Pelodiscus sinensis: one gene and its partner. The protein of the gene in region 2 purifies or fractionates together with the protein of the main gene of each other region. This does not show direct contact. Links are inferred from orthologs where the notes say so. Each region holds a gene or a part of one and is shown on either strand. Other genes may lie near its edges.

Region 1 (3,743 bases), on a different chromosome or scaffold from region 2:
AAACACTACCCCAAACATTTAAGAGTCAGAGATCCTGCATTATGGATAGTTTCTGCCCCCGGTGTTGTAGGAATCCAGAACATTCATTATAGGAAGTCTCATAATTAAGACTAAAGTTGGAATGTTACCATATTTTCCTCCTTGTTTTGTTTACTTACCTGCCAACTAGTCGCTGCCAACTAGTCACTGGAAAACTAGTCACATTAAGATGACACGAGTACGTGTAAACTGTTTTATTTGAAAGCCAGTCTGTGCAGCTACTTCCCATCCTTTCATACAGATAAGGAACAGAGGGTTTTTTTTTTTTAAAAGACTACTCTCCGCCAATTTGTTCAATGTTACAACATTTTAATCAAGTGTTCCTGAACTTCTCCAATAGTTGGTGTAACTGCGAAGCTTTCACTATAACATTTGCTGAAGCCTATTTATTAGATCTTGTAGGCAGTTTTCCAGGTTACTGGGTATTTCAGAAAGGCATAAAAGATCGTGGAAAAGCTTTGATAAATGAAAGTCTTCACATTCACTGATCATATTTAACCACTGCTTTGCCTGAGAAGTAGTTTTGAGAAGAAACAAGAAAATCCAAACGTGTTACATAATTCTAAAACACAGAAACAAGCCAAACATTCTGGTTTGTCTTGAAGTCCAAGATTAAACCTGACCCAGAACTAATCTAATCTTTAATTTGGGGGTGAAGTTAATTCCCTTCCAGCAATGACTGACCCTTTGAAGGATTTTTACCATTTACAGCTCTTCAGAAATCTCATTTTAAGGCTGCTTTCAATTAAACAGCACAAACCCTCCAAGGTTGTGATCATACATCAAGCAAGGAATTAAAAAACCACCACTACAGAGCTGTAAATATGTAAGAACAAACCTGTAGAGCAATAAAAGGTTCATTTCTGAATGTACAGATTTAACTTTGGTAAGAAAAGCTAAGTATAGCCAATAAAGTCAGTCCATAACAATCATTCTTGCATTCCAAATGCTGCAGTTTTGGGATAGTGGATAGCAAAAGAAAGTTAGCTTCATTACCCCAAGCTGAAACCAAGCATGAGAAAGCCAGAAGAAAATAAAGTTAATTTTAAAAATCTCAGTATCTGTAGCATTAGCAACATTCTTTTAAGCCAAGGCCCTTTAATAAGCACAGATTCCCCTCTCTTCTACACTGGAAAAAATAGAGCAGAAAAAAGGTATTGTCCAACTTTAGAGGTGGCAAAGCCACACTATTCTTCACAATCAGCAGTCTCTTGGCAACAGTAACTAGGGACCTCAATCATCTCTACTCCCAAAGTATTGACTGTTCCAAACAAAAAACAAAACCTTAAGACTTAAGGTGATCAAATAAATTGTCATTAGGGTTGTAGTGGTAATATTTTGACTAGTATAAGATATTTCTCATTCATAATGCCTGTATCCCCACTTCAAGGCATCACCTATAGCAACATTTCACTATCAAGCCACAGTATTGCAAAATCTACATAAGCAAGAATGTGTTTTGCAAGAACCATGTGACACACACATGACTTGCAGCAAAAATTAAGGGTGGACTTCTGCATGTTAAGCTGCCAACAACAGCAAGTGGTCAGAAAGAGCTTTTCACAAGAACCAAGTACTCTGGATTTTTAAATCATTGGTCCCCTTCCTCTCCGGTGGAAACATAATGTTTTAGTGACCGAACAAGCTTTAGTAAAGTCTTGAGCAAATAATGGCAATGAGATTTACTTTAAAAATCAAACGGGGTTCTTCTCTCTCCTGCAATGGTTATTTGGAGGAAAGTTCGAAAACAAAGTTCGCTATGAATGTCTGCTCTACTGCTTCTCAGTTTAGTAAAGATACCACAACTAGCTTTTCATGACAAAGCATGAGACCTCTTCACTTCCCATCTGCAAGGATTGCTGTAAGCAACCTAAACGCTCCAGAGAAATCACACTTGTTTCTCTTTCCATTCATCCGGGGTAGGTCTTCCAGTCACATTCTGCACTGAGCAAAATCCACTCTGGCGTTGCAGCCTGTTAAATAACTCAGGAAAACGGAAGTGAGTTTGCCCGGGCTGTGCACAAATCGCTCCTGGTGTCTGACAGGCTGGAGCGCCCCAGAGCCGAGCCGGTGACCTCAGGATCGCCCCCCCCCCCCCCCCCGTGATCCCCTTGTACAAAGCGCAGTGACCTGTCCCTGCCGGTTCAGGTGCAGGAGACGCTGCCCTGCCCGCGCAGTCACACCGATCCAGCCCATCCCGCAGGCCAATCGGGTGCTCGGGGCCACTCACCCCGGCTGGAGGATGCTGCCACCTGGCTCTTGCACAACGCTTCCCACAGCCGGATACCTGCCCCTCGGCCGCATGTCGCCTCCCCCCGCCCCACTCTCACTTCTGGGGCACCGCCCCACACCCTGCCCCCTCCCCACTACAGCCCCGGCCCGCCCCTCGCCGGGAGGCGACACAATGGCCCCCACCCCGCCTGTCCGCCCCGCAGCGGCGGCCTCCCCCTTCCGCAGCCCCCCCCCCCCGACCGGTTAAATTCCCCCCCCCCCCCCAGCGCCGGCCCCACTCACTATTCGGGATTCATGCTGGACATGTCAGAGGGGACCCGCGGCCTCTGGAGAACGAGCTCGCTCTGAGGAGCAGCAGCGGCGGCCAGACCCCCCCCAGCGGGAGCTGCGCGGATGCGGGCGTCCGACGGGGCAGCGGAGGCAGCAGCTTCTCCCCCCTCCCCTCGCAGGCGGCGGCGGCCTCCGCTCCGAGCTCCTCAACCCAAAATGGCTGCCAGCCCCGAACCAGGAAACAGGGAAACCTCTCCCCAAGGAGGGTTTACATGGTGGGAGGGCGGCGGCGGGGGATGCTGGGAAAACGAGTTTCCAGCCGCAGAGCCTGCCCCTCCAAGCCGCTGGAGCCGTGACCAGATAGGGACTCGTCTTCCCGGCACAGCCCGCGCCTGCCGCGGCGCATGCGCAGTCCCGAGCCTTTCTTTTCTCGCTTGGGTTGACGCCGCTTGGATTGGTTGAGAGCGAGCCGGCCGGGTAACGTCAGCCGTGAGACGTGGCAGCTCGGGCGACTCACTAACCCGACTGAAAGAAGAGGGCGTGGCCGCGGGTAGGGCGGGGGCGGGGCAGGGCACCGGGGCCGCGGAGGGTTAGCAGCGGGGAGAGGGAGCACATGCGGGAAGGCAGCGCGGCAGGGGGTGGGGGGAGTAGGGGGCAGGATAGCAGTGAGGGGGTATGGGGTGGGGGCAGGATAGCAGTGAGGGTGCAGGGGATGGGAAGAGTAGGAGTAGGGGGCAGGATAGCAGTGAGGGTGCAGGGGGTGGGAAGAGTAGGAGTAGGGGGCAGGATAGCAGTGAGGGGGTATGGGGTGGGGGCAGGATAGTAGTGAGGGTGCAGGGGGTGGGGGCAGGATAGCAGTGAGGGTGCAGGGGGTGGGAAGAGTAGGAGTAGGGGGCAGGATAGCAGTGAGGGTGCAGGGGTGGGAGGAGCAGGAGTAGGGGGCAGGATAGCAGTGAGGGGGTGGGAGGAGCAGGGGTAGGGGGCAGGATTAGGGTTGCCAGGTTTTGAACCGGATAGTCCAGTATATGAGCTTTCTGTTCGGGAAGCAAATTGAGAAAATATAAATGTCCGGTACTTTCTAAATTGTGATGTCATGTCAAGTGTGTCTGGTATTTTTGTTGAAACCATCTGGCAACCCTAGGCAGGACTGCAGTGGGGCTGCAGCGGGTGGGATGGAGCAGGAGTAGCAAAGGGACAATAGG
Region 2 (3,743 bases):
GGGCGGTGGTGACAGGTGCAGAGGGCGGTGGGCGGGTGTGGCGCTGACAGGCAGAGAGGGCAGTGGTGACAGGCAGAGAGGGCGGTGGGTGGGGGTGGCACTGACAGGTGGGGTGGGCGGTGCTGACTGGCGGAGAGGGCGGTGGGTGGGGGTGGCACTGACAGGTGGGGTGGGCGGTGCTGACTGGCGGAGAGGGCGGTGGGCGGGGGGTAGCGCTGACAGGCAGAGAAGGCGGTGGTGACAGGCGGAGAGGGCATTGGGCGGGGGTGGAGCTGACAGGCGGAGAGGGCGGTGGTGACAGGCGGGGTGGGCAGTGGGCGGGGGTGGCACTGACAGGCGGAGAGGGCGGTGGGCGGGGGCGGTGGTGACAGGCAGAGAGGGCGGTGGTGACAGGCAGAGAGGGCGGTGGGCGGTGGTGACAGGTGGGGTGGGCGGTGGGCGGTGGTGACAGGCGGGGTGGGCAGTGGGCGGGGGTGGCGGTGGGCGGTGGTGACAGGCGGGGGGTGGCGGTGACAGGCGGGGTGGGCGGGGCGGGGGTGACAGGCGGGGTGGGGTGACAGGCGGAGAGGGCGGGGGTGGGCGGGGGCGGTGGTGACAGGCGGGGCGGGGCTGGCGCTGACAGTTCGGGGGCGGTGGTGACAGGCGGGGTGGGCAGTGGGCGGGGGTGGCGGTGGGCGGTGGTGACAGGCGGGGGTGGCGGTGACAGGCGGGGTGGGCGGGGCGGGGGTGACAGGCGGGGTGGGGTGACAGGCGGAGAGGGCGGGGGTGGGCGGGGGCGGTGGTGACAGGCGGGGCGGGGCTGGCGCTGACAGTTCGGGGGCGGTGGTGACAGGCGGGGTGGGCGGTGGGCGGGGCGGGGCGGGCCCGGCGCTACCAGGGCGGGGCGGGCCCATTGCCGCAGGGAGGGTCCCTTGCCCATTGCCGCGTGTCCGGGCGCGGGGCTCAGGCGCGGCCCGGCCGGGGACTGGCTGCAGCGCGCTCCTCCGGCCGCCAGGGGGCGGGGTCCCGGCCGGGCCCGCTCGCTGCGCCCTCGGCTCGGGAGTCGCCGGGAGACGGGGCCGCGGGAGCGACCTGCCCCGACCCGCCGCCCATGGAGCCGCCCGCGGCCTGGAGCCTGGACGTATCCGCGGGACCCGGGCGGGGGGGGTGTCGGGGGGGCTGGAGGGACCCGGGGCGGGGGGGGGTGTCGGGGGGGCTGGGGGGACCCGGGGCGGGGGAGGGGTGTCGGGGGGGCTGGGGGGACCCGGGGCGGGGGAGGGGTGTCGGGGGGGCTGGGGGGACCCGGGGCGGGGGAGGGGTGTAGGGGGGACTGGGGGGACCCGGGGCGGGGGAGGGGTGTCGGGGGCTGGAGGGTCCCGGGGCGGGGGAGGGGTGTCGGGGGGGCTGGGGGGTCCCGGGGCGGGGGAGGGGTGTCGGGGGGGCTGGGGGGTCCCGGGGCGGGGGAGGGGTGTCGGGGGGGCTGGGGGGTCCCGGGGCGGGGGAGGGGTGTCGGGGGGGCTGGGGGGTCCCGGGGCGGGGGAGGGGTGTCGGGGGGGCTGGGGGGGTCCCGGGGCGGGGGAGGGGTGTCGGGGGGGTGGGGGGTCCCGGGGCGGGGGAGCGGTGTCGGGGGGGGCGGGGGGTCCCGGGGCGGGGGAGGGGTGTCGGGGGGGGCTGGGGGGTCCCGGGGCGGGGGAAGGGTGTCGGGGGGGGTGGGGGGGTCCCGGGGCGGGGTAGCGGTGTCCGGGAGGGGGGCTGGGGGGTCCCGGGGCGGGGGAGGGGTGTTGGGGGGGGCTGGGGGGTCCCGGGGCGGGGGAGGGGTGTCGGGGGGGTGGGGGGTCCCGGGGCGGGGGAGCGGTGTCGGGGGGGGCGGGGGGTCCCGGGTCGGGGTAGCGGTGTCCGGGAGGGGGGCTGGGGGGCTCTGGTGCCGTGGCATTGCTGTGTTCCTTAGCCGTGTGCCCATGCGGTGGAGGTGAGAGCAGGACAGAGGGTGCCCTGCGTCCTGAGCCTCTCCCAGCGCCGCGGGCAGTGCGAGTGAGTAGCGCACACGGGTGGCCGGGGTCCACAGGGAGGTGGGCTGCCCACGGTGGCCGGATTGCACAGAGGTGGCAGGGCTGCGCTTTGGGGGTACTACTGGATAGGAGTCAGGGTGCAGCATCTTCCTTGCCCTTGTGGGGCACAGGAATTGTTCATTTGTCAGCTGGGCTGTGTTGGCAGACGGCTGTGTAGTGTTTGGGGGAAGGTGAGCGTATCCCATGTTATTGTAGGGGGTGAAACTAAGTTCCTCTCTCTTGTGTGGGCACCTCTTCCATGGCTCTCGCTCCATTCCTGTGTCTCCGGAGTCGGAGGTTACACTACTAGATGAGTTAAAGCTGTATAGCTTTTGTGGGTAGGAAATCCCTGAGAAATGGAAAGGCCTGTCACACTAGCAGCACACTTGCTCTTGGAGTCTTGCCCCTCACTTTGGGGATGCTGTCCTCTTACCAGACAGAGAAGTGGCCCTGCTTCCAAGTGTTAGGTCCCTAGTCGACTCCCCATTTCTTCTGGTGTAAGCAACTTAGCATGCTTCCTTCATCATGTGCAGATCAGGAAGCATCTTTGGGAGCTTTTCTTCCAGACACATATTATTGCATGCATCTGTCTGTATACCTACGGATAACTGTTCCTCCCCACTGTTCCCACCAACGTAGATCAAGAGCAGGGATTGAAGGGTCTTTGGTTTCAGGAGAAATACAGCCATGGTGTCAGCAATACCTTTTGCCCATGAATCTTTTAGTTTTGGAGCTGTTCTGAGTCTTCCCCTTCTCTCCAGGTTGGTTATCCATTCGCGGGAGAAGGACACACCTGATCAGGATAACATTCCCATCAACAGCCGCTTTAGATGTGTTCAAGGTACTGATGCTCCCACACCTGCCCCTGTACTCTGCAGCTAGAAACCCGCTGCTTTGTTGTCCTGGCTGTACACATTGGAGTTTCCTTGTGGAGCTGAAACTCAGGGCTTATAATTACGGCTTCCTGCTTCTTCCTTCTCCCAAAGCTGTGTGGGGAGTTGGTGGATCTCAATATAAATATCGATGTGTGGATGTTTGGCTAGTTCAGCTGCCAGCATGAGGAGCAGCATATGGAGGCCAAGTGAAGGCTGCGTTTTGGTGGCCCCCATGACGGGAGAGGGTAAAAAGGACAGGATGTGCTGGGTCCTATGAGATTCTGAGCCCCCATGGAACTTTGAGGGTAGGCTGGAGGTCTCATGGGATTTGGAGCCACAAGTTTTGTCATAAAGCTACAGGCCCACTCAATGACCCCAGCTTTGGAACAGCCTCAGGGTATGTCTACACTACCCCGCTAGTTCGAACTAGCGGGGTAATGTAGGCATACCGCAATTGCAAATGAAGCCCGGGATTTGAATTTCCCGGGCTTCATTTGCATAAGCCGGGCGCTGCCATTTTTAAATCCCCGCTCGTTCGAACCCCGTGCCGCGCGGCTACACGCGGCACGAACTAGGTAGTTCGAACTAGGCTTCCTAGTTCGAACTACCATTACTCCTCGTGGAATGGGGCACGGGGTTCGAACGAGCGGGGATTTAAAAATGGCGGCACCCCGCTTATGCAAATGAAGCCCAGGAAATTCAAATCCCAGGCTTCATTTGCAATTGCGGTATGCCTACATTACCCTCCTATTTCGAAATAGGAGGGTAGTGTAGACATACCCTCTGAGAGGACCTCTTCAGTGAGTGATGCCTGTAGGGGTGAGCGCCTTAGGCTGGTCCT

Evidence for each region. Proteins that work in one complex are often made in the same cells at the same time.
Region 1: the proteins of OCRL (region 2) and RAB1A purify together in Homo sapiens (co-immunoprecipitation; 3 studies listed by BioGRID and IntAct, with this or other methods). This does not show direct contact. The link is inferred for Pelodiscus sinensis from reciprocal best matches to the Homo sapiens genes OCRL and RAB1A.

The regions. Positions count from the first base shown.
Region 1 is NC_134713.1:183,936,548-183,940,290, reverse strand, and holds the start of RAB1A (ras-related protein Rab-1A), read right to left. Parts: upstream 2,805-3,743; 5' UTR 2,577-2,804; coding exon 2,554-2,576; intron 1-2,553. UniProt on the Homo sapiens protein: The small GTPases Rab are key regulators of intracellular membrane trafficking, from the formation of transport vesicles to their fusion with membranes.
Region 2 is NC_134723.1:1,986,037-1,989,779, forward strand, and holds the start of OCRL (inositol polyphosphate 5-phosphatase OCRL), read left to right. Parts: upstream 1-936; 5' UTR 937-1,090; coding exon 1,091-1,120; intron 1,121-1,939; coding exon 1,940-2,010; intron 2,011-2,788; coding exon 2,789-2,868; intron 2,869-3,743. UniProt on the Homo sapiens protein: Catalyzes the hydrolysis of the 5-position phosphate of phosphatidylinositol 4,5-bisphosphate (PtdIns(4,5)P2) and phosphatidylinositol-3,4,5-bisphosphate (PtdIns(3,4,5)P3), with the greatest catalytic activity towards PtdIns(4,5)P2.